Linked DNA regions of Stegostoma tigrinum. The protein of the gene in region 1 purifies or fractionates together with the protein of each later gene. This does not show direct contact. Links are inferred from orthologs where the notes say so. Each region holds a gene or a part of one and is shown on either strand. Other genes may lie near its edges.

Evidence for each region.
Region 2: the proteins of unm_hu7910 (region 1) and lrrc59 purify together in Homo sapiens (co-immunoprecipitation; 3 studies listed by BioGRID and IntAct, with this or other methods). This does not show direct contact. The link is inferred for Stegostoma tigrinum from reciprocal best matches to the Homo sapiens genes ASPH and LRRC59.

What each region holds. Positions count from the first base shown.
Region 1 is NC_081358.1:34,172,956-34,189,909, reverse strand, and holds the start of unm_hu7910 (aspartyl/asparaginyl beta-hydroxylase), read right to left. Parts: upstream 8,890-16,954; 5' UTR 8,713-8,889; coding exon 8,655-8,712; intron 1-8,654.
Region 2 is NC_081375.1:36,165,370-36,181,541, forward strand, and holds the start of lrrc59 (leucine-rich repeat-containing protein 59), read left to right. Parts: upstream 1-8,376; 5' UTR 8,377-8,489; coding exon 8,490-8,606; intron 8,607-12,196; coding exon 12,197-12,256; intron 12,257-15,400; coding exon 15,401-15,559; intron 15,560-16,172. Other genes in the region: acsf2 (medium-chain acyl-CoA ligase ACSF2, mitochondrial), read right to left, coding at 1,350-1,471.

The DNA.
Region 1 (16,954 bases):
ATTGTAAGCATGCTTCTGAACAATTTAACAAAGCATTTATCTTTCTTAAATGACTAGTATTAAAAAGTTTAAAAGACAATATTAAAAATGAAACATCTTTAGGTATATAACACTCCTTCCTCTATCTATACTGATGAACTGTTGCATACATCCAACATTTTACTTCAGACGTTTTGTGCACTTTCAACAAAGCTGGCTGCAATAACTGGGTTCAGTTCTGATGCACAGGCCAGATACAGTGGTTCATTATACTCATTTGGAAACAGAACAGCAACATTCCTTTCATGCAAGGAGGAACTCTATTAAATACTACTCTGCATGATAAATCATTATGTGAGTTGATTATTCAGTGGGAGAAAAAACAACCTGTCTTAAAAGAGAAACCTTTCATACTTCACATATGTCCCTTAGTTTTAGTTTCAACAACAGCTGGGAAGATCCTTCATGAAATAAAGTATAGATACTGTAACTATCTAGTAAGCTCTTCAAAAAGCTAATTTATTGCAGAAACTATCCCAAAACCTACAACCTCAGAACTCAGTCCAAGCTGGATTTTGGATCTTGTCGACTTAGAAACAAAAAAAAAATTTAAATTTTAATTCAATAAACGGAATACATTGACTTGAAGTCAATAACTTTCTACTTCTATTTAAATATTTACTTGTTAGTACCGAACTCAAGTATTGGTGACAAATAACACACTCTACCAAAGCTTCTTGCCTTGTGCAAATCAGGACATTTGTCAAGAATAATAACGAAAAGTTAACATTCAGTGTGTGGGAGGACAGTATTGATCGGTTGGCAGGTGAGCTCTGATTGATAGAGACATTGCCATGCAGCATACACCAATAATGATGGAGTTTGCCAGGCTTTTGTCTAAGTTTTAGACAAGAGGACTCTCATCACGACACTGTCCAGAGCAGTGAAGCAGTCCATGGCTAAATAAGTCCAGGTTTAGGCTGACAAGTGGCAAGTAACATTTCAGCCACATAAATGCCAGTAATGACCATCACCCATAAGAACCTAACCATTTCTCCTTGATCTTCAATGGCACTACTATCATTGAAACCCCACTGTCAATATCCTGAGGGCTTACCATCGACCAGAAACTGAACTTGACACGCTATGTAGGCACTGTGGTTACATAAGCAAATTACACACTAGGAATCCTGCAGCAAGAAATTTACCTCTCCACGCCCCAACACCAGTCCACTCTCTACAAAGTCAGCAGTGTGATAGAACAACAGCCACCCAGGACAAAATAGCACATTCGACTAGCATTGCATCCATAACATTCACTCCCTCCACTACTCTGTTGCTACTGAGTGTACTATCTACGAGATACACTGCAGAAATTCATGGAGGTTCCTTAGACAGCACTTTTCAAACCTGTGATCACTACCTCTAGAAGGACAAAAACAAATATGGGAACACCATCACTTTCAAGTTCTCCTTCAGTTACCTTGAAGATATATCACTGTTCCTTCTGTGCCCCAGGTCAAAATCCTGGAACTATCTCCTGAATGGCATTTTGGGACGAGCCTACGGTATGTGAATTGCACTGATTCAAGATGGCAGCTAACCAACTCAAAGACTATGGATGGGCAATAAATGCTGGCCTCACCAATGACGCCCACATCCCCCAAATGGAAAGGAAAATTAACCAGTGAATAGCACCTATTTGGTTCAGTTGAATCAAGTGCACTGTGTACACATTCGATTTGCATAAAAAAGGGCCTGCTACATTAATAGCTATAAAACTGTACATGCAAATACACCACTCTGCAAACCCAACTCAACCTTAAATTTAGTAGATAAGTCCTACTGGGATTACATTTAATGTTGTGCACGGTTATGATATCGATGAGGGTAGGCTGGTTGGGTATGGTCAGAAGCTTACTCGCCATGAAAGACTACACTATCTAATACAACCTGCTGGTCTTGGCTGTATGGCTTATGTATGTAGTTTCACGCAGGCAGCATAATTCAGCTACCATATTACCCATTCATGTGGCATTCAGAATATCTTTTCAGTAGCATTTCCTGACCCAGTTCTTTGGATATCCACTATTTAAAAAGGGCAACAACATGGAACTATGTCAAGGGGAAGAGGAATACAGAGGAGGACTATCTCTTCCAAGTGTTCAAGGATAATGGCTATCCAAAGAACTGGGTCAGGAGATGCCTACAGGAACAGCAGAAAGATTCTACATGCCCCGACACACTCATCACACTGCCCTACATCAGGAACACATCAGAACTCACCACGTGACTTTTATGACCACTGGGCATTAGAGGGGCACACAAACCCACATCAGCCCTACAACAAGAGCTCACCCGAACTAAAGGCCCATTCCCCACCATGGACAGGACCAATGTCATCTACAAGATCCCCTGCAGAGACTGCAAGAAACACTACATTGAGCAAACAGGAAGGAAACTAACGAGAGTACATGAACACCAACTACAAAAAGACATGACCAATACTCACTCATCTCAATCCACATGGAGAAGAACCACCACTTCGACTGGGACAACACCAAGATCCTGGAACAGGCTAGGCAGAGACACGCACGAGAATGCCTGGAAACGTGGCACTCCACGAAGCAAGCTATTAATAAACACATTAAACTCGACCCCATATACATTCCTCTATGGAGGAAACCCGGAAGTGAGGCAATCCATCACAATGGACCCCAGAGTTTAAGAGCCAGGTGAGAAAACACACTGATGCTTCTTCAGAGGCTGCACTGAGGATATTACCAAGTACGGTGACGAAGCGTCTGCGGAACAAACCAGCCAACCAACCTCAACATGCACAACCCGAGCTACAAATCTACTCCGAAACCTTAAATATTAACTCTGTTTCCCTCTCAACAGATGCTGCCAAACCTGCTGAGTTTCTCCAGCATTGTGTTTCAGATTTCCAACATCCACAAAATTTTGTTTTAATTATTGCAATCTGTGATGGACAAGGCACTTTTCAGGATCAAAATTTAAGTCCTGGGGCCAGTTCATCAGTTTCCACCACACAGAGCAGCAAACACAAACTGTTCTGAGGAAGAGCTACTGGTCCCGAAAGGTTAACTCTGCAGTTTCCTTCACAGATGCAGCCAAAAATGCTGAGCTTTTCCAGCTACTTTGTTTCTGTTCTTGATTTACAGCATCCACAGCTCTTTCAGTTTTTATTCTGTAAATCAAGAGCTGAAATAATTACCATCCATCTATTTGCTGATGACTCCTCCCAAAAGTAGAGCACGTCTTCCTTCCAGCTACTGCTTTATTCATTTAAATCAGAAGGAACAATAATTTTGGCTTTAGAAATAGAATTCTGAACATCTCTATCATTCCAAACAACCATCTCAGAAAGATGATTGCAAAGATTTCATTCGTGAATTGACCAGAAAAAATATGCAAGGTGTTGTGCCCTGAGCATATTATAATGTATCATGCACAATGCCTCACACGACAACATGTTTGTCCATATGCATAGGAGCATCGTCAGTTAGAACAAATTATCTTGATAAAATACTATCTCAACTCCAGGACAGATTGTTAGCTTGATACACACATTACCAGTTAGTTACGTGCTGTCGTGAGATTTGTGGTATCTGCTTATTCATTTCAATTTTGTTTTTAGCCAGGTAACATAGTTGAAGACAGAAAAAAATATTGAGTGTCATGCAATCAACTTCTCTATTCCTTATCTGTAACTGAGCAGGTATAATACTAATCCATAATTTAGAAGTGGAAATTACTTCTGAATGACAACCACAAGATCCAACCTGTTCATGATGCCATCAAGGCAGACTCCTACACTTGCCAAATTAAAAAGGGCAAGAAACAATGCCCTTCTTGGAGCAGACTCAAATCTTGATAGATAAAACTACAATGTCTTACTTTGTCAACTGTGCTATTCTCAGAGTCATTGAGACTTCCAGTACTGAGACAGGACTTTGGCCCAAACTGGTCCATGCCAAGCAAAATGTCCATCCCATTTCCCTGCACTTGGCCCCCATCCTTCTAAATCTTTCCTATCCATTAAATGCTGTTAATGTACCCATATCAACCACTGCCACTGGCAGCCCATTCCATATGCATACGACCCTCTGTTTAAAAAGGTTGCCCCTCAGATTTCCATGTATTCTTTCTTTTTTTTACCTTAAACCAATGCCCTCTAGTCCTCAATTGCCCAACTCTAGGAAAAAGGCTGAGTACATTCACCCTATCCATGCCTCTCATGATCTTATACACCTCTGTAAGATCCCCCTCAGTCTCCTATGCTCTGAAGAAAAAAGTCCTAGCTTGTCCAACCTCTCCCTATAACTCAGTCCCTTGAGTCCTGGAAACATCCTTGTAAATTCCTTCTGCACTCTTTCCAGTTTAATAACATCCTTGCTATAGCAAGGTGACCAAAACTGAAGACAATACTCCAAGTGTAGCCTCACCAACGTCATGACAACTGCATCACAACATCCCAACTTCTACACTCTATACCCTGACTGATGAAGGCCAGTGTATCAAAAGCCTTCTTCACTGCCCTGTGTACCTGTGACTCCACGTTCAGAGATTCATGCACCTGAACTCCAAGATTCCTCTCTTCCACCACACTCCTCGAGGCCCTACCATTCACCTCGAAACTCCTACCTGGATTTAAGTTTCAAAATGGAACACCTTGTCTATATTAAACTCCATTTGCCAATTCTCAGCCCACTTCCCCAGCTGATCAAGATCCTGCACAATTTCTGATAACCTTCCTCACTGTCCATGATACAGCCTATTTTAGTGTCATCCACAAACTTACTAATCATAACTTGTATATTCTTATCCAAATCATTGATTACAGATAACAAACAGCAATGGGCCCAGCACTGACCCCTGAGGCACCCCACTAGTCACAGGCCGCCAGTCTGGCAAGCTTCCTTCCAGTATACCATCCAGCTAATTGCGTATCCGATGTGCCAGCTCTTCCTGGATTCAATGTGATCTGACGTTCCAGAGCGGTCTACCAAGTGGAATCTTTTCAAAGGCATTACCGAAATCCATATAGACTGCATCTGTTGCCCTACCATCATGAACCTTCTAGGTCAATTCCAACACCACCTGTACTGTCCCCAGGATGTCGCCACTAACTTCCCCAAGTTCAAGTTTTCATGTCTTTCTCCACTGTAAACACAGTACAAGTATTCACTGCAGACTTTGCCCATCTCTTGCAGTTCCATATATACATGTCTACTTTGGTCCTCAAGGGGTCCTATTCTCTCATTATTATTTTTCCTCGAGAGGTCTATTCTCTCTCTCTAACTATTCTCAACGCTGCAATACTTTGGACTGTGTTCTCCGGTTGGTTAAATTTAACCAAGTTTGCAAATTAAAGCTCTTTACTTTGAAGGATATTCAAAAGACAAGGTTTACAAAGAATGAAATAGTGTGCTTTGAAGAAATTATTAAGATGGCTGCTGAACAGTCAAGGGGGCAAGCCCAGAATCTACCTCAGGTGGAATTAGAATGAAACCTTGTGCTGCTGGCATATTCTGAGCCACACATTAGCTGCCTACCCAGCTGAGGCAATGGCACGTTATCTTTCCCCACTCAAAGAAAGTTACCCTATAAAAGTCACATTAAAAGAAGGGCAGAAAGTCCAAGCATTTCACTCCCCGCATGCATGAAATAGTCAGCCCCAACTTACTCACGCAATTCCAACCACACAGCTAAATGTCAACAATGTAATTGTAATAAAACAAAGAACTGCTGATTGGTTTTGCTTGTGTCTGCTTACATAATAATTTGTATACCAGTCTCTGCTGAACCAATTTCTTCCAATTCACAAAATATTCTGACTTATTCTCCTTCGGTCTAAACCTCTGCCTTCCCCACATTCAGTTCCAATTAGCGACAATCTGTCACTTTCTGCTTCCTTCTCTGCAATATACCATTTTATAAAATACAGAATACAGCTCACATACATTTCACTGATAAAAGGACTAATCACATTTCAATTCATACATTTCCGTCAACTTTCCAGTCCAATTTCATATCCTTTCACAATTTTTAAATTATGTCCCATAGGTCTCTTTAGTTTTAGAAGTTCTCATTTTCATTAATCAAACCATATATCTAAAGCTTTCTGAAAATTCAGGTCAACAACATCCTTAAGCACCCCCACTCAGCAGCCAGTTCTCCACACAGGAATTGCAGCATTTGAACAGAATACATGTAACACTTTTCAACATTCACATTCAAAGTCTGAGTTTCCTCATTGCCTATGCAATAAACTTTTGCCTTCAAAAATATCGACGAGTTGTTTAAAATCAAGCAACACCCATGATTTGTAAACAATTTCTGAATCACACTGAAATGTCTCAACATTACTATATAAACTACACATACTATAAACCCAGACGAAACGACACCAAGAGATAGCAATAACTGCAGATGCTGCAGTCAGAGACAACGCAATGTGGAGCTGGAGGAACACAGCAGGTCAGGCAGCATCAGAGGAGTAGGAAAGTTGACGTTTCGGGTCAGGACCCTTCTTCAGAACAGTTCTGAAGAAGGGTCCCGACCCGAAACATCAACTTTCCTACTCCTCTGATGCTGCCTGACCTGCTGTGTTCCTCCAGCTCCACACTGCATTGTAACTACACCCATGTCCTTTTCCAGTGAACAACAGGCATTTCCAACTGTTACAACTACATATTACAATTATATAAAAGTGATATAAATGGGAATTGCTTATAAATAGGTATAAAGATCACAAAAAATAAGCACAATATAATCAAGATCAACACACAAGGCAAATCACACTGTGCAGCACTCAACACCCACCTATGGCTCTCCAGCTATTCCTTCCATTCTGGACAAAAGGAATCAAAGTCTGCAGGTACTCAGTCCCAACAGAGTGGCAGACTTGGATTATGCTATGCTAGGGGTGTTCTAGTTATGAAAAGCTTTTTTAAAAGCACTGATTCAGCCTCAAGTGAATTTGTGTCGACAAAGCTGACATCTCCCTGAAGAAAGGTACGAAGACCTTAGACAAGGTGCAGACAAGAGATTGTTTCCAAGGATAAGAAACTAGTCATGCAAACAGATGGCAGACTCATTGGTTGTTCTTCAAAAAGATTGCTTTGAGTTTTGACTGTTGTTCAATCCTGAGGAATCTGGATGCAGTGGATAGAGAAACATTCTATTTGCAAAAGATCAAGAACCAGAAGGCATCAATACAAGATGAATAGCAAAAGAATCAGAGTGACAGAAGAAAAACCATTTTGTTTTTAAATGTAGCCAATGGTTAGACTCAAAATTGTTGAGTATGTAGTTAAACAGGTTGGAACTGCTTAGAAAAATGAGGTGACCTCATTGGAACATATACAATTCTTAAGGGTCTTGACATGGTAAATGCTGACAGCATACTTTCTCTCATGAGGGAGTCCAGGGCCAGAGGGCTCAGGATTGGCTCAGATCTCAGAATAACAAGGTTCCAATTTAAGACTGGGATTAGAGGAATTTGTTCTCTCGAGGGCTGAGTGTCTTTGGAACTCCTTGTCACAGAGCACTGAGGGGACAGAGTCGTTGTGTATATTTTAAATCTACAGGTCTGAAGATCCTACAACTCTCTTCCATCAGGGAAAAGATACAGAAGCTTGAACACATGCACCAGCATGTTCAAGAACAGCTTCTTCCCTGCTGTTATTAGGCTGCTAAACAGACTAACTTCAAATCTCCTGTGCAGCTGTAACCTTGTATGCTTTGCTCTAAGCACTCTATGATCTGTATGTCCTTGTTTGCTATGATCTGTCCATACTGTTCGCAAAGCAAGACTTTTCACTGTACTTAGAGCCATATGACACCAATAAATTCAAATCAAATTAAGGCTGAGTTAAACAGATTCTTGATCAGTTAGGGAATCATAGGGAAAAGGCAGGAAAGTAGGGCAGGGGTGTTGGATCAGCTATGATCCAACTGAACAGTAGAGAAGGCTTGAGGGTCCACTGTTAATATTTCTAATGGCCTTACACGGGCTATGTAACTGTCCAATTCCTAATTATCTAGAAAGAAAAGTAGATAAATGTGCAGGCTGTATAAGGGAATCGGGCAAACCCAGCTGCTCCTATATAGTTCAGGATGGGTTATAACTTCAGTTTCTACAAAAGGAGAAACTGAAAGAATTAACAATTATGCAAGTGGAACCACGTATCTTCTCTAACATCCAGTTTTAAAAAGAAAGACCACAAATGTTGATAAATGAAACACGGATATAAAAGCAGAGCTGAGATGTATCAATGACCTTTGAAAAGAAGTAGCATATAATCGATCCGAAAGACAGCACAAACGCTGCATGAAAAGCAATGATCACACGGACATGGGGCGGACCCTGTCTTACACACCCAGCAAACCAGAGCAAGGAGCATTTGACAGTACGTTAGCGGTGGGAGATGGGCGAGGGGGGTAAGTGGGTCGGGTAGGAAAAAAAGGGGTACAGCAGCGGGAAACCCATTCCAGAGGAGGGATGGGGGGTAAAAGCTCCAACTTTCCTTCGTCTTTTTCCCATAGCGGGTGGGGGTGAATACCGGATCCGGCAGCCCCGCGCCGAGCAGCGGCAGGACCTCCTCTCGCCCCCTCCCAGGCCCGGCCGTCAAACCCATCCCCCTCACCTTTCCTGGATCCTGACGGGTTAGAACGGCTGTTAGCTGTCTTGTTCTTCGAAGTCATGGTTCACTCGTTCAAAACGTGCCAGCAGATAGAGAAGGATGCGGCGACAGCCGGGCAACTCTGCGTCTCTCTCACACATACACACAAAACTCGCTCTCGCGGCCGTTAGTCCTCACCTGACCCCCAAGACCAAATCCCTCCGCAGCCGTGGAAGGGGGGGTGGGGAAAGCGTGGCCGCAGGCTGATCGACAGCCCCCTCCACCAATCGATCGTAGGTCTCCCGTCAGGCTCTTTTTGCTATTGGCTTCCCAGCGGGATGCTCCGCCTCGCCCCCCGCGCCCATCGAACGTGGCAACATGGAAGCCGAAAAACCTCGAACGAGAGCGCCACCGGCCGACAGCAGGAGCTGAAGAGCTGCTGCCGCCTTGGCGCCCCACCCCTTTTGGTTTGGTGGCGTGTTGCAAGAATCTTTACCTGTGATCCAGGAGTTTCGAGTTCAAATCCCGCCGACATCAGAATCGTGTAGTAATCTCGTAGTATCAACATATATTTTCCAAACTCGAGGGCAAGCTCTTGTGGAGTAGTGGCAATGTCCTTCGCTCTAGGCCAGGAGACGTGGGTTATGGGCTAATAAATTTCTGTTCAGTAATATGACTGAAAGAGCTGGACATCTGAAATATTTCTGTGCGGTATTATGAAACAAAAACAGAATTTCCTGGAGAAAATCAGCAGAAATGACTTACATTTGTGGAAAGTTTCAGAGTTAACTTTTCGAGTCCAGTGACTCTGCATCGGAAGGACAGAAGTGACATGACACCAGATTACATACCAACAGGTTTATTTGAAGCCTCAAGCTTTCCCAGCGCCGCTCGGTCGTCAGCTGCATCCAAAGAGTCAACACCTCAGTGCAGCTCTGAGGAAGGGTCACTCAATCCAAAATGTTAACTCTGATTTCGTTCCATGGATGCTGCCAGACCTGTGAAGATTTTCCAGCAATTTCTATTTTTGTTTTTAACATCTCAGTACAGGTTGGTTATAAAATGTTTAAGGGCTCTTACGGTACAGTGGTTGTACAGGGCCTCTGGGCCAGGAGAGTTCCTAAGTGTGGGAACAGGCCTTTTGGTCCAACAGGCCCACACTGACCCTCCAAAGAGCATCCCACCCACACCCATACCCTATCCCTGCATGTCCTGTGGCTAATCCACCTAGCTGAACATCCCTGAATACTGTGGGCAATTCAGCATGGTTAATCCATCTGCTTTGCACGTCTTTGGACTATGGGAGTAAACCAGAGCACCTGACAGAAACCCATATAGACGTGGGAAGAATATGCAAACTCCACACAGTCACCCAGGGCTGGAAAAGGATCTGGGTCCCTGGTGCTGTGAGGCAGCAGTGCTAACCACTGAGCCACCATGCAACCTGCTTATTGATGAAATAGGGAGGTCTCTTGTGGTGAAATGCTAGTATCCTAACCTCTGACCCAGGAGGCTTGGGTTCAACTCTCATCTGATCAAGAGGCATGTCATAACACCTCTAAACAGGTTCAATAGAAATATCTACTAGCGAGTGTTGAGAAGATTTGTAGCTCAGGTTGAGTTTCTGGATGTGAGTTTGCTCGCTGAGCTGGAAGGTTCGTTTTCAGACTTTTCGTCACCATTTATTTGAAAAAATATACTTTATTCATAGAATGTACAAAAAAGTAAAACATTTATACACCTACCCAGTCATGCAAGCCGCTCCGGGTTACCCAGGGGGTACGTACACCAACGAAAGGAAAAACACAAAACAAAGAAAAAAACAAAGCAAAGAAAATACCCTGGCGGTCGTCTCCCTGCACAGTCCCTGTTGGCCCCCTGACCAGTTGGGGAAGGCGCCGGCTGGGCCTAGTTACCAGATAGGGCCCTTTTTTCTATTCTGGACGAGGGGTTTCATACGGTGGTCTTTCCCCACCGTGCCTTGGCAGTAGCTACCCAAAGCTTTAGCTCGTCCCTCAGCACGTAGTCCTGGACCTTGGAGCGCGCCAGTCTGCAACACTCGGTCAGGGTCAGTTCTTTCAGCTGGCAGACCAGTAAGTTGCGGGTAGACCAAAGAGCGTCTTTCACCGCATTGATGGTCCTCCAGGCGCAGTTGATGTTGGTCTCGGTGTGCGTCCCAGGAAACAGCCCGTAGAGCACGGATTCGCGTGTCACGGAGCTGCTCGGGACGAACCTCAACAAATACCACTGCATCCGCTTCCCGACCTTCTGCGCATAGGCAACTCCAGAAGGAGGTGATAGACAGTCTCGTCCCCCCCGCAGCCACCTCGAGGGCAGCGTGCGGTGGCGCAGAGATTCAGGGCATGCATAAAGGATCTCACTGGCAGAGCCCGTCTCACCGCCAGCCAAGCAATGTCCTTGTGCTTGTTTGAAAGTTCTGGCAATGAGGCATTCTGCCAAACGACTTTGGCAGTCTGCGTGGGGAACCACGCGACGGGATCCACCCTCTCCTTTTCCTGAAGGGTCTCGAGGATACTACGTGCTGACCACTGCCTGACGGCCTTGTGGTCAAAGGTGTTTCCTTTCAAAAATTTCTCCACGAAGGACAGGTGGTACGGGACGGTCCAACTACTTGGAGCTTTCCGTGGCAACGAGGCCAGGCCCATCCTTCGCAATACCGGGGACAGGTAGAACCTCAGTAAGTAGTGACACTTCGTGTTTCCGTACTGAGGATCTACGCACAGCTTGATACAGCCACATACAAAGGTATCCATCAGGGCGAGGCTGGTGTTCGGTACGTCCTTTCCCCTGTTTCCCAGGTCTTTGTACATGGTGTCCCTGCGGACCCGGTCCATTCTCGACCCCCAAATGAAGTGGAAGCTGGCCCGGGTGACCGCAGCGGTGCAGGTCCAGGGGATAGGCCAGGCCTGCGCCACATACAACAGTACCGAAAGCCCCTCGCACCTGACAACCAGGTTCTTACCCATGATGGAGAGGGACCGGAGCGTCCACCTGCCCAGCTTCTGCTTCAGTTTGGTGATATGCTCCTCCCAAGTCTTAGTGCACACCCCAGCTCCACCAAACCAAACACCCAGCACCTTCAGGTAGTCTGTCCTGACAGGGAAGAGGATGAAGGGGCAGTTGTCCCAGTTCCCGAAGAACATGGCCTCGCTCTTACCCCTATTGACTTTGGCACCCGAGGCCAGTTCAAACTGGCCGCAGATGTCCAACAGTCTACTCACCGTCCGACAATCGGTTGCAGAAGGCAGCGACGTCGTCCACGTACAGGGAGGTCTTGACCTGAAGGCCTCCGCTGCCTGGGATAGTCACGCCCTTCAGGCTCACGTCCTTCCTGATGGATGCGGCGAAGGGCTCCATACAGCACACGAACAAGGCAGGAGGGATCAGGCAGCCCTGCCTGACTCCAGATCTGATGGGAAAACTGTCCGATTCCCACCCGTTGATCGAGACTGCGCCAATGATGTTGGTGTAGAACAGCCGGATCCAAATGCGGATGCCCTCACCGAACCCCAATTTGGAGAGGGCATCCCTCATGTAAGCATGAGAGACCCTGTCGAAGGCCTTCTCCTGGTCCAGGCTGACGAGGCAGGTGTCCACCCTCCTGTTCTGCACGTAGGCGATCGTATCCCTGATGAGCACGAGGCTCTCAGCGATCTTCCTGCCTGGCACAGCACAGGTTTGGTCAGGGTGAATCACTGACTCCAGGACAGACCTGACCCGGTTGGCTATGACCTTGGCCAGGATTTTGTAGTCCACGTTCAATAGTGAAATGGGACGCCAATTCTTAATTTCTTCCCTCTCCCCCTTACTCTTGTAAATGAGGGTGATGATGCCCTTCCTCATGGACCTGCATATTTCCCCTGCCCAAAGCACACTATTGTACACCTCCAGCAGGTCCTGGCCGACAAGGTCCCACAGAGCGGAATACAGCTCGACTGGTAAGCCGTCGCTCCTGGGAGTTCTATTCCTCTCAAAGGACTTGAGGGCTCTGGTCAACTCGTCCAGGGATATCGGCCGGTCCAGCCAGTCCCTCGTGCCGTCGTCTAAGACCTCCGTGATAGACGACAGGAACGACTTGGAGGCCGTGTTGTCCGTGGGCTTCGCGTCATATAGTCCGGCATAGAAGGATCTGCTGATCCTCAAAAGGTCAGGCCGAGACGACGACACCGAGCCATCGTCCTCCTTCAGCCAGCTAAGCACAGAGCTCTCCTTGTGCACCTTCTGAAAGAAGAAACGCAAGCACATCTTGTCCTGCTCCACGGATCGGATCTTGGACCGGAAGGTTATCCTGGAGGCCTCCGCGGCGAAGAGCGAGGCTTGCTGGCCCCTCACCTCGCGGAGGTCCTCCGTGACATCGACCCCCATCAACTGCAGAAGGAGCAGGTTCTGCATCCTTTTCTGGAGTCGCAACAGCTTTCTCCGCCTCTCTCTCGCCTTCCGAACACCCTTAAGGACAAAGAACCTCTTGATTTTCTCCTTCACTGTCTCCCACCAGTTGCCCGGAGACTCAAAGAGGGGTTTCATGGTTCTCCAACCAGCGTACTCCCTCTTAAGCTCCTCAACGTTTTCTAGGGCCAACAGAGTCGTGTTGAGCTTCCACGTCCCCTTGCCGGCCTGCTGGTCGTCCTGTAAGTGACAGTCGGCCAGCAGGAGGCAGTGGTCAGAGAAGAACACCGGCTCGACGCCGGTGGACCTGACTGAGAATGCTGGTGACACAAACAGGAAGTCTATCCTTGAGCGGAATGACCCGTTTGGCCGCGACCAGGTGTATCTCCGCTGCGCTCCGTATGCAGGGGTGCTGAAGACGTCGAGCAGTTTGGCGTCCTTCGACGTGCCCATCAGGAATCTGGACGTGACATCCAGTTGACTCCCCCCACCCGCTGTCCCCACGCCGGATCTTCCGTCTGCATTGATGATGCAGTTGAAGTCTCCGCCGAGGATGTCCGGCCTGGACGTAGCCAGCAGGGGTGGAAGCTGCTGCAGGACGGCCAAACACTCACTCCGTACCGCTGGGGCGTACACGTTGATCAGCCTCAGGGGAGCGTTCCTATAGGTGACATCAGCCACTATGAGGCACACCCCCAACACCTCCTGAACTTGAGAAATGGTGAAGTTGCGCCCCTGCAGCAGAATAGCCAGGCCCGAGGAGCAACAGTCGTTATCCCCCGACCAGATCGAAGGCCCACAGGTCCGGGCGCCCGCCCATTTCCCGTACCTGCTGAGTTGCGGTATCCCGCACTCCTGCAGAAACAGGAGGTCCGCCTTGACGGTGGTCAGGTAGGCCAACGTGGACACACATCTTGCGGTGGACTTGACGCTGCGCACATTAACGCTCACAACTCATACCCCCATTGTGGGCAGTGACCGCAGTACCCTCCCCGAGTCCAAGGTCCAGCCCCTCCATCTGTCCCTTCATGCCCATTGCCCACGCGAACTGCTGGACGCTCTCCGGGCTCAGGAACCCGTCCGTGCTGACTTCCGGGTGGCATCCCCCCGTCGGGGGTATGGGGGCAGGAGAGTCCGGCTCTGAGTCAGGCTGGGGACATGCTGTTTCCTGCTTCCTGCCTGAACGTTCAGGGGGGCCCTCCAGGGCCCAAGCGACGAATGTCTGGGAGTCGGAGGGAGCCTCAGGACGCCTCCTGTCACCTGGAATCAGGGTGCTGCTTTCCTTCTCCCTTGAGATCTTTAGCTTCTGCTTTGGGCGGGCCTCCTCCGAATCTCCCTTGTCAGAAGAACTCTTATAGCCCCCCTGTAGCTGCCTGTTCCCGCCTGATGGTTGCGGTGCCGGGGCCTGCCGGCACGCCTTCCTCCTCACCTTCCGGACCGTCGTCCACTCCCCTGTCGCCTCCTCCATTGACTCCGGGTTGTCGGGGAGGAGCGGAGCCTGCAGGGGGGCTTTGCTGGCCTTGGGTCCGTCCTGCGGGGCTGGGCCCTCCTGTACGACCTGGCCCTCCTGCACATTAGGGGGGTCATTGCAGGGGCCTGGTGCCTTCCTCTCCTCCGTGGGGGCTTGCCCCGCATTGCCCCTGCCAGCGACCTGGGCGTAGGTGGTCCCCCACCGAGGGCATGCCCTGTAGAGGTGGCCAGCTTCCCCGCAAAGGTTGCAGCTTTTTTCTTTTGGGCAATCCTTTGCAAGGTGTCCCTGCTCCCTGCAGATCCTGCAGATGGTGGCTTTGCAGTCGGCCACCACGTGACCTGACCTACTACAGGCATGGCAGACTTTTTGTTGCCCTGCGTAGGTCAGGTAGCCCTTGCTCCCACCGATCGCGAAGCTGGACGGTGGGTGTACGATGTTCTCGTCCGCGCCCGTCCTCAGCGTCACCGTGACCTGCCTCTTACTGGTCCAGATCCCGAAGGGGTCCATGATGTTGGTTAGGTCCCCTTCCACCTTCACGTACCTTCTGAGGAAGGTCAGGACATCTGCTGCTGGCACATGTGGGTTGTACATGTGTACAGTCACCATACGACTCCTCTGCACTGGCATCACGAAAAGCGGGACAGCGGTCAATACGGAGAGGGGCCCTCACCTCCTTTCTCCTTGAAAACCTCCAGGAAGCGCTTGCAAAGCTTGGCACTCCTGAAGGTCACATCGTAAAAACCTCCTCCGGGGAAATCCTGCAGGCAGTAAATGTCCGCAGCAGCGAACCCACAACAGTCCAACAGGACCCTCTTCACGAAGAAGGTGCGGTCCACAGGTGCACCTTCATCCACCTTCTTCATGGAAACGCGGATGGTGTTCCGGACCCCCTGACCTGGGGCACAAGCACTCGCCGCAGCCATCGTTGCAGGTTGGCTGCTACCCTGAACCGGCGTTCGGCCAAAGCCGGCACTAAGATCCACCAGTTGCAAGGGTGCACAGCCAACCCAACGTCTTCCTTCCAACTCCAACACAGTTGCGCTCTCCTCTTCTCGGTCCAGAAAAGAGTGGGTCTTTATTTTGTTCTGGATGTAAGCTGGTTCACTGAGCTGGAAGGTTCGTTTTCGGACGTTTCGTCACCATTCTAGGTAACATCATCAGTGAGCCTCTGGTGAAGCGCTGGTGTTATGTCCCGCTTTCTGTTTATCTGTTTAGGTTTCCTTGGGTTTGGTGATGTCATTTCCTGTTCTTTTTCTCAGAGGGTGGTAGATGGGCTCCAAATCAATGTTTTTGTTGATGGAGAAACAAACAGACAAAACGTGTCCAGAAACCAGAACCACTCTCCCCTACATCAAAGACATCTCGGAAATGACTGCCAGACTACTCAGACCTCTTGGCATCAGGGTAGTCCACAAACCCACCAATACACTAAACAGCAGCTAATGAACTTAAAAGACCCTATACAGACAACAAGCAAAACGAACATCATTTACAAAATACCTTGCAAGAATTGTGTCAAACACTACATTCGACAAACAGGCAGAAAGCTAGTCACCAGGAAACGTGAACATCAACTAGCCACAACTATCCACTATCACTCGTATCCTTACATACAGATGAGGAAGGACACCACTTTGATTGGGACAACACATCCATCCTAGGACAAGCCAAACAGAGACATGCAAGAGAATTCCTAGAAGCATGACATTCCGACCGGAACTCCATCAACAAACACCTTGATTTGGAGCCAATCTACCAACCCTGAGAAAAAGAACAGGAAATGACATCACCAATGCAGGAAATGACATCACCAACCCAAGGAAACCTAAACAGATAAATAGAAAGCGGGACATAACACCAGCGCTTTGTCGGAGGCTCACTGATGATGTTACCTAGAATGGTGACGAAACGTCTGAAAACTAACCTTCCAGCTCAGCGAGCAAACTCACATCCAGAAATATCCACTTCCAGACAGTAATAACTTCTGAGAAGGTGCTGAGTGGACCTCTCCCTCAAATAGTGTTGGGTACGCTTTGCTGTGAAATTGGGGAAATCCAGAGATTTGACTCAAAGACTGTCTAAAATTATCCCACAGTGTTCTGACAACCAAATGCCCACAAGGAAAGATCATATTGTTTCCAACAAAAGTAAAGCACTGCAGATCCTGAAGTTCAGAAATGAAGTGCTGGAGAAACTCAGCCTGTCTGGCAGCAACTGTGAACAGCTGGATGCAAATCCCATATCACTGCTTCAGAAGAGATGAAGAAGACAATTTGCATCTAACTTAGCCTCCCAGATATTCACATTAAGTCATTGTGATTCTTGTACTAAGATATTGGTAAGTCTACATTTGAATGCTGCCTAAATTCTGTTTGCCCTGCTTTCTTAAAGATGTTATTAAACTGAAAATGGTCAAAAAATGTTTACAGTGATGTTACTGAGACTG
Region 2 (16,172 bases), on another chromosome or scaffold:
CCTGGACCGGAAGATTATCCTGGAGGCCTCCGCGGCGAAGAGCGAGGCTTGCTGGCCCCTCACCTCGCGGAGGTCCTCCGTGACATCGAGCCCCATCATCTGCAGAAGGAGCAGGTTCTGCACCCTTTTCTGGAGTCGCGACAGCTTTCTCCACCTCTCTCTCGCCTTCCGAACACCCTTGAGGACAAAGAACCTCTTGATGTTCTCCTTCACCGTCTCCCGTCGCCCGGAGACTCAAAGAGGGGTTTCACAGTTCTCCAACCAACGTACTCCTTCTCAAGCTCCTCGATGTTCTCTGGGGTCAACAGAGTCGTGTTGAGCTTCCACGTCCCCTTGCCGGCCGGCTGGTCGTCCTGTAAGTGACAGTCGGCCAACAGGAGGCAGTGGTCAGAGAAGAACACCGGCTCGACGCCAGTGGACCTGACCGAGAAGGCCCGTGACACAAACAGGAAGTCTATCCTTGAGCGGTCACTGTATATAAATTATGTGCCTGCGCACTTCACTCCATTCACCTGACTAAGGAGCAGCGCTTTGAAATCCTGTGATTTCAAATAAACGTTGGACTATCGAGATATAGGAACTGCCGATGCTGGAGAATCTGAGATAACACAGTGTAGAGCTGGATGAACACTGCAGGCCAAGCAGCATCAGAGGAGCAGGAAAGTTTGACGTTTCGGATTGAGACCCTTCTTCAAAAAAATGTTTCCGTCTCGACCCGAAACGTCAAACTTTCCTGCTCCTCTGATGCTGCTTGGCCTGCTGTGTTCATCCAGCTTCACTCCGTGTTCTCTTATGTTGGACTATAGCCTGGCTTTGTGTGACTTCTGACTTTGTCAGTCCCAGTCCAACACCGGCACCTCAACATCCTAGCTTTTACTTTAATGAGACACCACCCTTATTATAAAAGCAAAATACTACAGATGCTGGAAAACTGAAATAAAAATAGAAAATGCTGAAGAAACTCAGCAGGTCTGACAGCATCTCTCCATGGAAAAACGGAGTTAACGTTGAATGTCTTCGAATGTTGTCAAAACAAAATACTCCTATCAATTCACAGACTGGCAGCCAATATTCTACCTCTCACACGAGAGAATGAGACTATTTAAAATACGCTGACAGATGCTAATATGCACAGCCATCTGTGCCGAAATAACCACAAGACCCGGCGATGAGTGTTTGACAACAAAAACCTCCCAGTCACAGAAGAGATCCTAGAACAGAATGCTTGGGGGAGACACAAACGAAGTGAATGAGTCATTTCTCTCATTTCCACAACCGAAGACATTCTGTTAAATGACCGAAGACACTCTGATCCCCGAAGCTTAGTTACAGCCAGCGGCAGCCTTTACCTGTATGGGGCAAGTGTTTTTGTCCCACTGCTACTGTAGCCTTTCCAGAAATCTTCCGGGAAGAGCCGCCAGCTCCGGTTCCAGGGGCCGGCACAACTCCTCAGCCCGAACGCGAAGCCCATTATTACAAATACAGTGTAGAAAACGGCGATAACTCCGAGGGCTCCCTCTTAACACACTTCTAACTGAACTTTTACACTTCCGCAACCCACACTAAAACCAGATTAGAAGTTCCTTCCCGTCCAATGTCAGCGCAACAGTTGCTCAAAATGAAAGATGGACGGTTCTGCCGACCATTCAGTGTGTGGTATCCGCTGTCAAAGTCTGTTCCAGAGGTCCCAGAAAGAATTCGCCAATGCAGCAGAAAGAAAGCCCAGCGTTTAAACACATCATTGGGGGCAAACGAGACACTGCAACTTTGCTGAACACTGAGGGCAGCTTGTTCTTTGACCCTATGGTCAGGGGTAGGGTTCAATCTCTTTAGAGGAGGTGTGCGGGAGTAAACAGGCAAACTCGGGTAATCAGACCGGAATGCAGCGCCAGGCCAGAAGTGACTCTGCCCACTACAGCCGTTTATAGTATCAGAAATTCCCCACTGAAATCACACCACAGCACCCGACATCTGCAATCATACAGCATTAAAGAAAGAAACTGAACTGTTCAGCCCATCGTGTTTCTGCCAGCTGTTGTGAAATATCTCACTTCCTCAACATCAGGCGACGTTGTTTGGGTTGAACCCACGCTGCAGGCGTTACTCTGCATCACAAACCAACGTCAACCCAACTGACCCTAGTCTGTGCGGGGATTTTACTCTGCATCACAAACGAACCCTCCAGTCAACAGCCTGCTGAGTTTCATCAGCGATTTTTGTTTCTTTTTGTCTTTGAAATAACTGTCCAGTTAGTCTCATTGTGGAATACCAGAGTTTCAAAAAGCAAAACACTTTGAAAAGACTGGGGATGTGGTGGATGGTGTATACAATGGGGTGTGATTTAAGGATAGAATTTCCCTGCAAATCTGTATTTGACATAATGTGAAAAGGTGAAGATCCAGGCATTTGATCTATTTTGTTTTCAGAAATTACCAGGGCTCGAACATTTAATACAAACACGGGATTGTCCAAGCATGAAGGATCACTGGATGAGAAACGTTAACTCAGCAGGTTTTCGAGCATCTGTTCAGAGAAAGCAGAGTTTCTCCTGCACTTTCTGTTTTTGTTTCAGATTTCCAGCATCTGGATGTTTTTGTTATTTTGTTTCCAAGGAGGCAACCATGCAGCATCTGGATGCTTTTGTTGTTTTGTTTCCAAGGAGATAACCATGCAGGCAGGGCGCACATAAAGACAATAAGAGGGATAAATCAGATTCAAAATTACCTTCCTAATTTTAAAAGCTGTTCCCAACCATAAATCTGAATTTCTAATCTGTGTTGATGCTGTCACTTAATAACCATATCTATCCAGATAATTTAGCTGGAATCAATGAACTAACAGTAATTCAACTGTTAATACATTTTCCCCATCAAACACAGTGCAAGTGAGTTGCAGAATAAATTGCTGAGAACACTGTCCCTGTGAATGCTCTGAGGGGAGATGCAGCTAGGCATAGATTCAGAGTAAAACTCCTTTCTATACTGTCCCCACCAATACTCCCAGGGCAGGTACAGCATGCGTTGCGTACAAAATAATGCTTCCTGTACAATTTTACAACCCCATTGAGGCCTGTAACTTTTTTAAAGGATTGAATTTTCCAAACAAATAATAGAAATATAACAAAGGACAAGATCTCACCTTTTAAGACTTTTACTGTAACAAAATATAATCTACATAGATCAAGCCCTAACCTATACATAACTAATGCACCAAACTAAAGAAAACTGTATGTTTTGTATTTACCAACTAAGACAACCAGAATATATATTATCAAACACTTTTGTTCAACATCATGCTTCTGATAGATATGCATCATTAAAAGAACTATCCCAAAGTCACCTCCAGCTCTTCAAAGGAGCCATACTAGGCTGAGTTTGTAGTGTTCTTCAACAATCATTCCATTCTGCCTGGGATCTCACAGATTATAATTATCACCAACAGGTACACTTCATTGGATATGTCTCTCCAGCAGATCATCACAGACCAGAAGGTCTAGAGATTCCCAGATTTGACCCTTTAAAGTTGTTTAGCCAGCTCCGACAAAACTGTTATCACATTGTTATTTGTTCCTATTCCTCAATATTTCTGACAGAACAGCAGCAACGACCTTTCTGGCTCCATACTTTTTCTTTCCAATTCATAGTAGCTGTTCTAGTGAAAGGTGTTAAAACAGCCATTCCACGTCAATGGGCTTTTCTCCTGATGGTGACTGGATCACAATGGCATTTCTCTGAGCCAAAGTGCTTGGAGAAGACATTTTAAAACACATAATTGTCTTGTAATGTTCAGTTTTTATACCACTGTCCCCACCAAATGCTCCCGGTGAAGGTACAGTATAAATTCAACGTACAGTAAAACTTCTTCCACACTTCCACATTAAATAATGAAGCAGGTACAATACTGTTTTGATACAGAACAAAGCACCTTGCAAAGCAGAGTTATCTAAGCTCCTTCCGGGAAGATGGTGACAGAGTAACACTCTCCATGCAGACCCTCTCTACTCCGCCTGTTCTTTTTCTTTTGTTACTATTTTCTTCTCTCCTTTTAACGCTCCTGGAGCAGTGATTGGGGCAGTAGTCCCCAGAACAGCACAAGGGAAAGTGTGTCTCAAAACATCATGAGAGGAAGCTTGGCCTGGAACAACTCGAGGGAAAATGAGTCCTGGAGATCTGCGAGAAGAAAAGCCAGTCCAGGAGCAGCGCAACTTACCTTGGTGTAGCTGAGTGTCTGGTGGAGCAGCTGGAGACTTGGAGTGGAGTGGGACTGTTGTTGGTCAGGGGCCTGGCGTGGGCGATCAGACCACGTGCTTGTTGAGCTGCTGCAATGTAACATTGATCTGAAATTCTTTACCGGACTGTAATGTCAATCCTTTAACTTTGTTGTAACTATTCTACTTCTAACTTTTTTTTAGACACTGTAAGTAATGCTATTACTTTTCCTTTTATTCCTGTTTTGTATCCAACATTTATACCTAGCTACTTCTACCTAAGATGGTGCCATTGTTAAAACTTTTCACTGTACTCATGTACTCCTCTGCTGGAGTACATGTGACAACAGTGAATACTCTATCCCTTGCACTAGGGGTGTGGCACATTTCAACTTCTCTTTCTCTTTAATGGGGACTGTGATTGGAAGTGCAGTGAGCAAATATAAACATAAGGTTTGGCACAATAAGGGGTATGAATTTTTTAAAATTCCAAAGAAATAAATTAATCATTTAAGTAAATTAGTAACTCATAAAATTGCCATTAAAATGTGTCAGCGGCAAATACAAGTTTTTTTTAACCACCTTGGTTAAGAAACAGAGCTAAAGCTGGACTAGGTTGCAAGTCCTGATCACCCAAAGCTGTGGGTAGGCATTGAGGCCAAGTTGACTCGGATTTAACTAACACTGATCTTGCTTTCATGTCTGGCAACACACACTCTGAGCTGGCCTTGGTACAATTCATATAGAAGTGGGGGTTGAGTGGGGGAGAAGTGTTAGAAGCATCTTGTCTTTCGGCCAGGGTATTCCTGCACACCCATGCTGCTTTGCAGATTGGTTTTGAGGAATGAAGAGGAGGAGAAAAGTGAATTTGTGTTTGGCTTCCTCAGTCTCAAGGTTCATAGAAACTCTCCCACTCCCCACATACACGCAGAAACACACACATTCACCCCTCCACTCTGTTTCTCCCACACAAAAACACACATGCCTGCATTCAATCCTCATGCACACAAACGTGCACCCTTGGTCCTAAACCGACACTGTCCCATATCCGTACACTCCCATTCCCCATACAAGCTTTTTCTAATTCCAATACATACTCACTTAACCACTCTGACATTAACTCGCCTACTCACGCTCCTTCATTCCCATATAAATGCTGCCAAGTGATCAACAGGCCTGCTCCACCACCTTGACTGCAGCCTTTCAGGGCATCAATGCTTCAATGAAAGGGAGAGTGCTGTCATCTCACAACCTGTTTGCTATCCTGGACCCTCCTTCCGTAAACCACTTAGCATCTCAGAGTCTTCTCCCCCATCTCCCTCACCATCTTAAATCTTTCTACCCCATCTCCTTCACTATCTCAGAACCTTCTCCTCCATTTCCATCACCATCTCAGAGTCTTATCCCCTGAACCAGTTATCACATCACAGCCTGTTCTTCTCACCCACCTACCGGGTATGCTGTCCTTTACAGTCTCCCCCACACAGCAGCAGGCTTACCATTGTTCCCAGTGTCCTCCTCAAGCTCATTGAAGATAAGGATATTTGCTGCTCTTCCAAAAAGAAGTTATTTATACATAGAATCCCTACAGTGTGGAAACAGGCCATTTGGCCCATTGAATCCTCCAAAGAGCATCCCACCCAAGCCTACACCGCCCCCCCCCCCCCCACCGCCATTCCTGTCACTCTGCATTTCTCATGGCTGATCCACCTAGCCTGTACATCTTTGGACTGTAGAAGGAGCCCATGCAAGACATGGGGAGAATGTGCAAACTCCCCACAGTCACCTGAAAGTGGCACAAACTGTGGTCCCTGGTGCTGAGGGGCTGCTGTGTTAACCACTAAGTCACCATGACATCCCAAAGTAAGGAGGTCCTTGGTCTCTAGATGGTTTCAAACCACCAACCTTCTGGTTACAGCCAAATGCACTAACCTACTGCAACACACAGACAGGTGCCATTTCTTTTCTGTGTTGCTGCCCATTGGCTCAGTAGTGAACCGATCTATGGCAAGGGTGGGAACAAAACAGCTTCAGAATGATGAGCATCTCCATGGTGGATCTCTAACATGTATTTAACTGTATTTACAACAAGGCTTGATGGCCAGATAGGCCCTCTAGGAATAAATTGGATATAAATTGCAAAGTTTACTTGAGTGGGATAAAGAGGAATTTTATTACCCACTGACCCCCATAAAATATTAAAAATGAAACATCAAACACCTAAAATACTCAGGTAATAAGTTTAAAAAGGAAGTTGAGGTATGGACAGGAAGTAATGGCAATTTCACTTTAAAGTGCTCAGAGTCCTTGAGTTGTGAGAATGACCTGAATGCTAACTCGTTCTTGTCTTGCTTCTTCAGTAGTGACAAAGTTTGTAGATCTTTGACTTCCTAGGTGACCGGTTGTTTTCCCAAGTTGGTTTTTTGCTGGGTACTGACTTCAAGTTTAGGAATAACAGGGAGTTCCAGGTTCTTGTCTAAATAATCATATTTCTCTCTCACTTCTCCTTTGCTGCTCAAAAGCTGTCTTGATATAGGTTTACTTATATATTCTTGAATCTGTTTTATTGCTTTTTCAAACTAAATAATGCACAGGTAACCTTTTATCTCCCAAGGTGTGATTTTATTGTGCAATTGTAGTCAGTTTGCTGGTTTCAGTCTTTAGATAACATGGCAGTCGCAATAATGCTGTTTTTCATTTATTCCATATCCCAAATTTTTCTCAATCTGTGGTCAGGAGATCACAGCAGCCATTTTTGGTCAGAATGTGGCCTTTTTCCAAGCATTTTCTGTCATTCAATTCTTAGGTCAATCAGGTGAAGGAATTTGAATATTGATGGTCCATTTTTATTACAATTGCAAGAATATGTTGATAAAAATCCCTACATTGTGAAAGTAGGCCATTTGACCCATCAGGTTCACATTGGCACTCCAAACAGCATCCCTCCCAGACCAATTCCCCCTGCCACATGCCTGTAACCTTGCATTTCCCAAGCTAATCCACCTAGCCTGCACTCTATGAACAATTTAGCATTGCCAATCCACCCAACCTGCGCCTCTTTGGGCTGTGGGAGGAAACCTGAGCACCCAGAAGAAATTCACACAAACATGGAGAGAATGTGCAAACTCAGACAGTCACCCAAGGCTGGATTCAAACCCTGGCATTGTGAGGCAGAAGTGCTGACCACTAAGCCACCATGCCACCCATGCCAAATTCAAGGCTGAATTATTTTATTCATGTACAGCTTAATTCACCATAGTTGCAATCTCTCCTTAGAGAGAAAGACACAACTGGTGGCGAGTTTAATCAATGGTTAATGTGCCAAGGCGAGAGTTGGGGTTGAGAAGGCAGGGCCTTCATAGCAACTTTAAGCCCTTATAGGAAATTAATCCATGCTCATGGCATCACAAATCAGCTGTACAGTCACCTAAGTTAACCTACCCATCTATATCATTCTACAAAGGAGTGAAGGATTACTGGAAGAGGGGTGCAGATAGGAAAATGGAGTTAAGATCACGATTAAATCAGACATGATCTTATTGATTGGCTGACAGAAATTCAGGGGCACGAATGGCCTACTTTTTCTCTGATTTCCCATGACTTTAAAAGTCATCTCGTAAATGGCAAAATCCAAAAGAGATCCCTCCAATCACTATTTATCATTCAATCATGTTTGTGAAGTCAAATTATCTGGTATTTATCATATTTGCTGCCGCGTGGCAACTGTTCTTATACTTTCAAATGATATTTTGGATTGCAGATTGGGGTTTATATTTTGTTCAGAAATCAGGGTTCATCTGTGAGTTTGGAGATTATGATTTGTAGTTGGATAAGAAATTTTGATGTTGATTTAAGTTGAAAATTTGATTATATTTAGGTTTGCAGTTTGGGTCATGCTTGAATCTGAAGGAGTTGTGTTTCTAAGATAGCAGGAACTGCTGATGCTGGAGAATCTGAGATTACACGGTGTAGAGCTGGATGAACACAACAGGCCAAGCAGCATCAGAGGAGGCGGAAGGCTGACGTTTCGGCCTTAGACCCTGCTTCAGAAAAAGAAACATCTGGATGAGCTGCGGATTGCAGTTAGTCAGTTCTCCTCCCGGATGATCGGAGCGCTGTTGAAGGAGTTGTTCCCAAAGTGGCCCCTCCTGGTTTCCTTGTCTGTCCCCTGGGAGTTTGATCTGACGTGTAGCTGCCGGTGTGGAAGGAGAGGCCGGGTGCCGGCGCAAATTAAGGCGGAGCGGGGTAGGGAACCGGCGCTAATCCTAGCTGCAAAGTAGAGATGCCGAAGAACAGCGGGAAGCAGCTGAAGCCGAGCCCCAGCCTCCGGGAACGGCTGGACGGACACGAACTGGACCTGAGCCTGAACGGCCTGAGTGAGGTCCCGGTCCGGGAGCTGGTGAGTGGCGGCCGGTGGGGGTGGGGCAGAACCGAGGAAATGTCTGTCGGTGGGCACCAGCGGGTTGAGACCCTGTGCGTGGGCAGGGCTGGAGTGCGATGGTTCCCACAGTTTGTCAGCCTGCTACCACTGCCCAGTCTCTCGTTTCGTAAACAGACGTTGAGTGCCGGGCAGTGTCCACTTGAAGCGGGAGGAAATGATAGAGGCTCCTGAGTCTGTAATTACACGTTGTGGACAAAGTTTCTCTCCCAGAGAGCGGTGAACTTGTGGAATTCTCTGCCACTGAAAGCGGTCAAGGTCAAAACATGGAATGTTTTCAGTAAGGAGTTAGATATGGTTTTCAGGGCTAAGATGATCTGAGGGTATGTGGAGACAACGGGAACAGGGTGCCGAGATGGATAATTATCCATTACCGTACTGAATGATGGAGCAGGCTCCAAGAGCCATAAGACCATAAGATATAGGAGTGGAAGTAAGGCCATTCGGCTCATCAAGTCCACTCCGCCATTTAAATCATGGCTGATGGGCATTTCAACACCACTTCCCTGCACAATCCCCATAGCCCTTGATTCCTTCTGAGATCAAGAATTTGTTGATCTCTGCCTTGAAGGCATCCAACGTCCCGGCCTCCACTGCACTCTGCGGCAATGAATTCCACAAGCCCACCATTCTCTGGCTGAAGAAATGTCGTCTCATTTCAGTTTTAAATTTACCCCCTCTAATTTTAAGGCTGTGCCCACGGGTCCTAGTCTCCCCGCCTAACGGAAACAACTTCCTAGTGTCCACCCCTTCTTAAACCATACATTATCTTGTAAGTTTCTATTAGATCTCCCCTCAACCTTCTAAACTCTAATGAGTACAATCCCAGGATCCTTAGCTGTTCATCATACGTTAAACCTACCATTCCGGGGATCATCCGTGTGACTCTCCGCTGGACACGCTCCAGGGCTAGTATGTCCTTCCTGAGGTGTGGGGCCCAAAATTGGACACAGTATTCTAAATGGGGCCTAAGTAGAGGCTTATAAAGCCTCAGAAGCACATTGCTGCTTTTACATTCCAACCCTCTTCAGATAAACAACAACATTACATTTGCTTTCTCAATTACGGACTCTACCTGCAAGTTAACCTTTAGAGAATCCTGGACCAACACCAGATCCCTTTGCACTTCTGATTTGCGAATTTTCTCACCGTTTAGAAAATAGTCCATGCCTGTATTCTTTCTTCCAAAGTGCAAAACCTCACATTTACTCACATTGAATTTCATCAGCCATTTCCTGGACCACTCTCCTAAACTGTCTAAATCTTTCTGCAGCTTCCCCACCTCCTCAGTACTACTTGCCTGTCCACCTATCTTCGTATCATTGGCAAACTTCGCCAGAATGTCCCCAGTCCCTTCTTCCTGATCATTAATATATAAGCTGTGGCCCCAACACTGAACCCTGTGGGACACCACTCGTCACCAGTTGCCATTCCGAAAAAGAGCTTTTTATCCCAACTCTCTGCCTTCTGTCAGACTGCCAATCCTCCAAATCTTAGCCAAATGGCCTACTCTTCAATTTTTTATATTTCTAACACAATCCATGTGGGGTCTCAACCTGTGTATGAAGTAAACCACATTGTGACAACTTTGGGTCTGATGATCTTAGCAACAGAAATAGGTCTTGCGTTATTGTTAGCAAGTTAATAGTTTGATTAAAGCAGAATGTTCTTATTAAAAATTGCAGAAGTGTTTGCCTATAGTGACATTACCTGTATTGTATGTCTCAAAATTTATGTGCCCATCAACAAACAGACGTTTATTTCTTGTGCATCTGTGTATGCAGAATCCACGTCAATCTACGCAATCATGTCAAAATAAAAAAGCTGGTGGTTTGGGGTGTTTTGAAAAGCATTAAAGTTGACAAGTCGCCTGGACCTGATGAGATCTAGCCAAGAAGCTGAGGGAGGCTAGTGAAGAAATCGGGGCTTTGTTCTACATCTTTGCATTCTCTTTAGTCACGGGAGACATTCCAGAGGACCAGAGAATTCCCTATCTTGTTTCTTTGTTTAAGAAGGGCAGAAGGGATAATCTGGGAAATTACAAGTGAGTGAACCTTATGTCAATGATAGGGAAATTATTGAAGATCCTTAGAATTTACTCACATTTGGAAAAAATTACATTTATTTGCATTAGGCAGCATGACTTGTGCAGTGAAGGTCATGTTTCACAAACTTGATTGCCTCAAAAAAAATTCAATGACAGACGATCGAGGCAGGGTGGTAGATATTGTCCATATAGACTTTAGCAAGACTTTTGACAAGCTCCTTCATGGCAGCCTGTTAGAAAAGGTGAAGTCACATGGGATCCACAGTGAGCTGCTAAGATGGATGCAGAACTGGCTTAATCAGATAAGACAGAACAGAGATGGAGGGGTGCTTTTCTGACTGGAGATCCCTGTTGCAAATGAATTGGAGGAGAATGTCGGTAGTTAGATTATAAATTTTTGGATGACACAAAGATTGGGGGAACTGCATTTAGTGAGGAGGATTTCCGGAGGATACAGCTGGATAGATAAACCAGAAACAGCCAGAGAAATGGCAGATGGAGTTTAATCTGGACAAATTGAGAAGATGCATTTTGGAAGATCTATGCAGGAGAGAACTGTACAGTAAATAGCATCAACATACAGAAGGATCTAAGCATACAGGTTCATAATTCTCTGAAAGAAGCGACACAGGTGGATAAGGTAGTCAAGAAACTATATGGAATACTTGCCTTCAGTCACTAGGAGAGATTATTTTTAAGTAGATGGCAAGTCATGTTGCAGCTGTATAGTACTTTAGTTAGGCTACATTTGGAATATTGTGTATAATTCTGATCGGCACAGTACCAAAAGGCTTTGGAGAAGGTACAGAAATAGTTTACCAGGATATTACCTAGATGGGAAGGTATTAGCTATGAGGAGAGATTGGACAAACTTAGTATGATTTCACTTGAATGTTGAAGTATGAGGAGCAACCTGATAGAAGTTTACAAAATGGAAATGCTCGGCTGGAATGGATAGTTGAAGTCTTTTTCCTAGGGTGGAAATGTCAATTACTAAGAGACAGAGGTTTACGGTAAACGGGGAAGTTTAAAGGAGATGTGAGAGGCAAGGATTTTTATTTTATGAAGTGGGTAAGTGCCAGGAATGTGCAGCCAGAGGAGGTGGTGAAGGCAGATACGATAGCATTCTTTAAGAGGTATCTTGACAGATATATGAATGGGCAGGAAATACAGGAATACGGTCCACCGTTTTCAGTTTAGAAATTTGGCACAGGCTTGGTGGACTGAAGGGCCTGTTCCTATGCTGTACTGTACTTTGTGTACTGTCCTCATCACATTCCTAGTTTAGGTTCATTATAAACCTATTTGTCTCACATTGCAATAGGAGATCCTTGAGTATGAATTAAGGGAATTAGAACTGAGTTGATGGTAATGCATTAATGAAAATGTTGTTTGAGCCTTGCATTCAATTCCTTCTGGGCCACCAAAAGTTCAAGTTTGCTGCCTTGTAATAGCAGCTGTGTTTTAATCCTATCAAACTTTAAAATAATACTTGTATTTTCAGGCAGCATTGCCCAAAGCAACCGTCCTGGATCTGTCCTGTAATTGTCTTGTCACATTGCCGGTAAGTTATTGTATAAGTCGCATCTGTTAGTGTGCGTGTGTTCTGTATGCATAAATTCCATGTGTTCTGGGGTGGGGGTGAAGGTAGCAATTAGATAAACAAGGTGTCATGTGACTTCTCTTGACAGCAAGAATCGCCTAGGTTCTGACTTTATCTTTGTCTGGGGAGGTGAGATTTCATAGCTCAGCAATCATCATGTGCCACCTCTGAGATAGTGTGATGTTTTCAAGAACATTCTTGATCCCTGAGGGAGTCAATACCATCAGGGGAGGGAGAAGGGAGAGCTGGTACAAATATACATTCCTCACTCAGAAAAACACCTTCAGGAGAGGGAGAGAGATCATTGACTTAGAAAAAAATGTTGTAATATGGTAATACCCTTGTGTGATTGTCATGGGATGCAGCATCCTGACTACAGCCTGTTCATGAAAATTCAGTTTTTACAAACACCAGAAAGTAGTCTGAGTACAATGCGTTTAGGGCAGCACAGTTGTTAGCACTGCTGCCAGGGACCCTGGGTCGATTTCAGCCCTGGACGACACTCTGTGTGGAGTTTGCGCACTCTCCCCAAGTCTGCATGGGTTTCCTCCAGGTGCTCCGGTTTCCTCCCACAGTCCAAAGACGTGTGGTTTAGGTGAATTGGCCATGCCATAATTGCCTGTAGTGTTCAGGGAGGTGTAGATTAGGTGGGTTATAGGGGGATGGGTCTGGGTCTGGGTGGGACGCTCCGAGGTCCAGTGTAGACTTGATGGGCTGAAGGGCCTGTTTTCACTGTAGGGATTCTATGAATGTGATGCATTCAGGACATATCTTCAATGGGTCAAAATAAATGAGAATAACAGAGTGAAAAGGCGTTTTGGTTCATCAAGAGCATGCTGGTGTTCATGGTCCATTTGCGTTTCTTCACACTGTTTAACAAACTATCAGTATCCAGTTCTCCCTCATGTTCATGTAATGTTTAAAGCTTCAAAACTGTTAAAGTTGTAAAGGCTCAAAACAGGGGCCTTAGGCCATCAAGTCTATCTGACCTCCGCAGTCTTTGCCACTCCCCTGTCCATCACAATATCTCTGCAACTCCTTTTCCTTCAAGTGCCCATTTAAGTTCCTTTAAATCATTGACCATCTCTATTTCCACCACCCCAACACAAACAGTGAGTTCCAAGTTATCACTCTCGCCCCACAAAGATGTTCTTCCTCAAATGCACCCTCTATCAGTTGCCAAAACTTTTACGTGTGCACCTTGGTCCTTGCAGCATTAGGTAATAAGAACAGCCATTATTTTAAGTTCACACTTCCCTGAAGTGTATAACCTCACATTTCTCATATCATCTTCGTAATTTTTTTTAAAAATGACTCCCGTTCCCTAATAGCCTTAAAGTCCACTCCAGCATTCATTATGAATAATAATGTGATCAGAACTATATGCAGCACTTCAAGTGGGCCCTAAGTGAACTAGTTTCTAACATTTTCCTTTTTTTGGACCATACAACATTGAAGGAGCCTGGACTTACAGGCTTCAAGTTTAAAGATGGATTGTCACCTCCAGCACCTCAAAGAATTGTTACATCACTCCCAGGACAGTGCAACACAGGTTATCTATAAAGTTTCCACTGCTGAGTCATCATACTCTCCCAAGACAGGTGCAGCATAATGTTAGATAGAGAGTAAAGCTTATTCTATGCTGCTGCATCATATCGCCTATGATGAGTACTTGTTTTTTGTGTGTTTTTTTCTTCTGCCTATTGCATTGACATTTGGTGGTTATGTAATTCTGTCCTGCGTCAGTGGATTAACTCTGCTTCATGCCCCAATCCAGCTGGTGAGAAACTTGTAGTCGTTAGCTGTGATTTAGTTTTTTTGCCTCTGAGTCTGAAGGTTATGAGCTCAAGTTCCCCTTGAAAGAAATGCACAGGATTTAAGCTGACATGGCCAGTACTGAAGGAGTGCTACATTGTTGAATGTCTTTATGCATGAAAAGTTAAGCCACAGTCTTCCCTGCCTTCTCTCACACACAAGATTTTATGGCCAGTAATTCAGATATCGGCAAAATGAATTGATTTGGTGTTCTGCTTAAGTTTTACCTCATTGCTGTTTGTGTGATCTTACTACGCCTAAATTGACTGCTGCATTTCCTATAGTGCTCAGTGGCTACCTTTTAAATAGTGCTCCTAATGTTAAAAAATGTGCAATGCAATGCACATTTTATTCCTTTTATTCCTCGCCCATGGAGGGAAATGTAGCTGATCCCAAAACCATTCTCACGCACATTGTACTGAGAGTTGTTAATCCATAGAATCCCTCGAGTGGAAACAGGCCCTTCGGCCCAACAAGTCCACACCGATCCACAAAGCAGCACAGACCATTTCCCCAGATATACACAACCCTGAACACTGTGGGCAAAGTGTCACATTGCATGGCAAACTTGCCACTGAGCCAACTGTAATTGGCTGAATAAATTACAAATTTTAATGGTACCTCGTGTCATTAAACAATATCCAATGAATGATCTTTACTGTTGTCTTAAGAACCAAGTAGTGAATTTGATCCAAACAATTTCATACCTTCTGTAATGATAAAATTATCATTTGTTTGCCAAAAAAATGCTTTAGTTATTCATAAAAAGCATTGTGTAAATTATAGTATCGTGATTTGGTTCTTGATATGCATCAAATAAATACCTTTGACTTGATCTTGTTTTACATTTAAAGCACTAAATTTATCTGAGGAAGGATCACTCATCTGGATATGTTCGTTCCAATTTCTCTCCACAGATGTTGTGACACCCACTGAGTTTATGCAGCAACTTCCATTTTTGATTTCGTTTTACAGTATATGATCAGGAGCAGGAATCTTGGCTCAGGGACACTGACATGAAATGTGGCATCCTGGTTGTTGATGGCTAGTTAATTTTGTGTAATATAGATAGAGTTTTGTCTCCCTTGAGCATTGTGGTGGGCAGGTTTGTATAATATTTTATTGTGAGCAGAGTTTGAGAATTCTGATGCCTGGCTGGAGATGTAAGCTTAAGTGAGAACATTTTTAACTGGTGTCCATGTTTCAAGCAATTTCTTGAGCAGCTGTTTGTTTTTATAAATTGTTTTTGTTTATTTCTCTGTCTGAAAACAACCTCTTTGTCAAATGCAGCCAGAATTCTGCAGTCTGACACATCTCATTAAACTTGATCTCAGCAAGAACCAGCTGCAGGAGCTTCCTTCAGATTTTGGGCGACTTATTAACCTGCAGCATTTGGACCTCTACAACAACAAACTGACTAACCTACCAGTCAGCTTTGCTCAGCTCAAGGTAGGCAGCCTATTCCAATAATCTCATACTGGGGATCCCTTAAACAGAAAACAAGCTTTTCTCTGTCAGTTTTCTTTCCCCATCATCCTCTAAGCTTGCAATTAATATTTTATCAAGACCATCTTGTGGAATTGGGAAAGCAAATCATTGTCGTGGTCACTTTTATTATACTGGTCAAACTGCAAACTTTCCTTTCTTGTTTCACCTGCCCTTCAATGCTTTCTTGTGCATGTTTGTGTGTTTTCTTTCAATTTCACCAATGTCAAGATCCAGACTACACTCAAAGTCTCTTGCTGTAACTTATTTTTTCATTTACCAGCCACCCCACCCTAATACATGGTGGCTCAGTGGTTAGTACTGCAGCCTCACAGTGCAGGGACTCTGGTACGATTCCAGCCTCGGGCGACTGTCTGTGTGGAGTTTGCACATTCTCCCCGTGTCTGCGTGGGTTTCCTCCGGCTGCTCTGGTTTCCTCCCACAGTCCAAAGATGTACAGGCTAGGTGGATCGGCCATGTTAAAAATTGCCTGTAGTGTTCAGGGGTGTGTGAGTTATGGGGGATGGGTCTGGGTGGGATGCTCCAAGGGGCAGTGTGGACTTGTTGGGCTGACAGG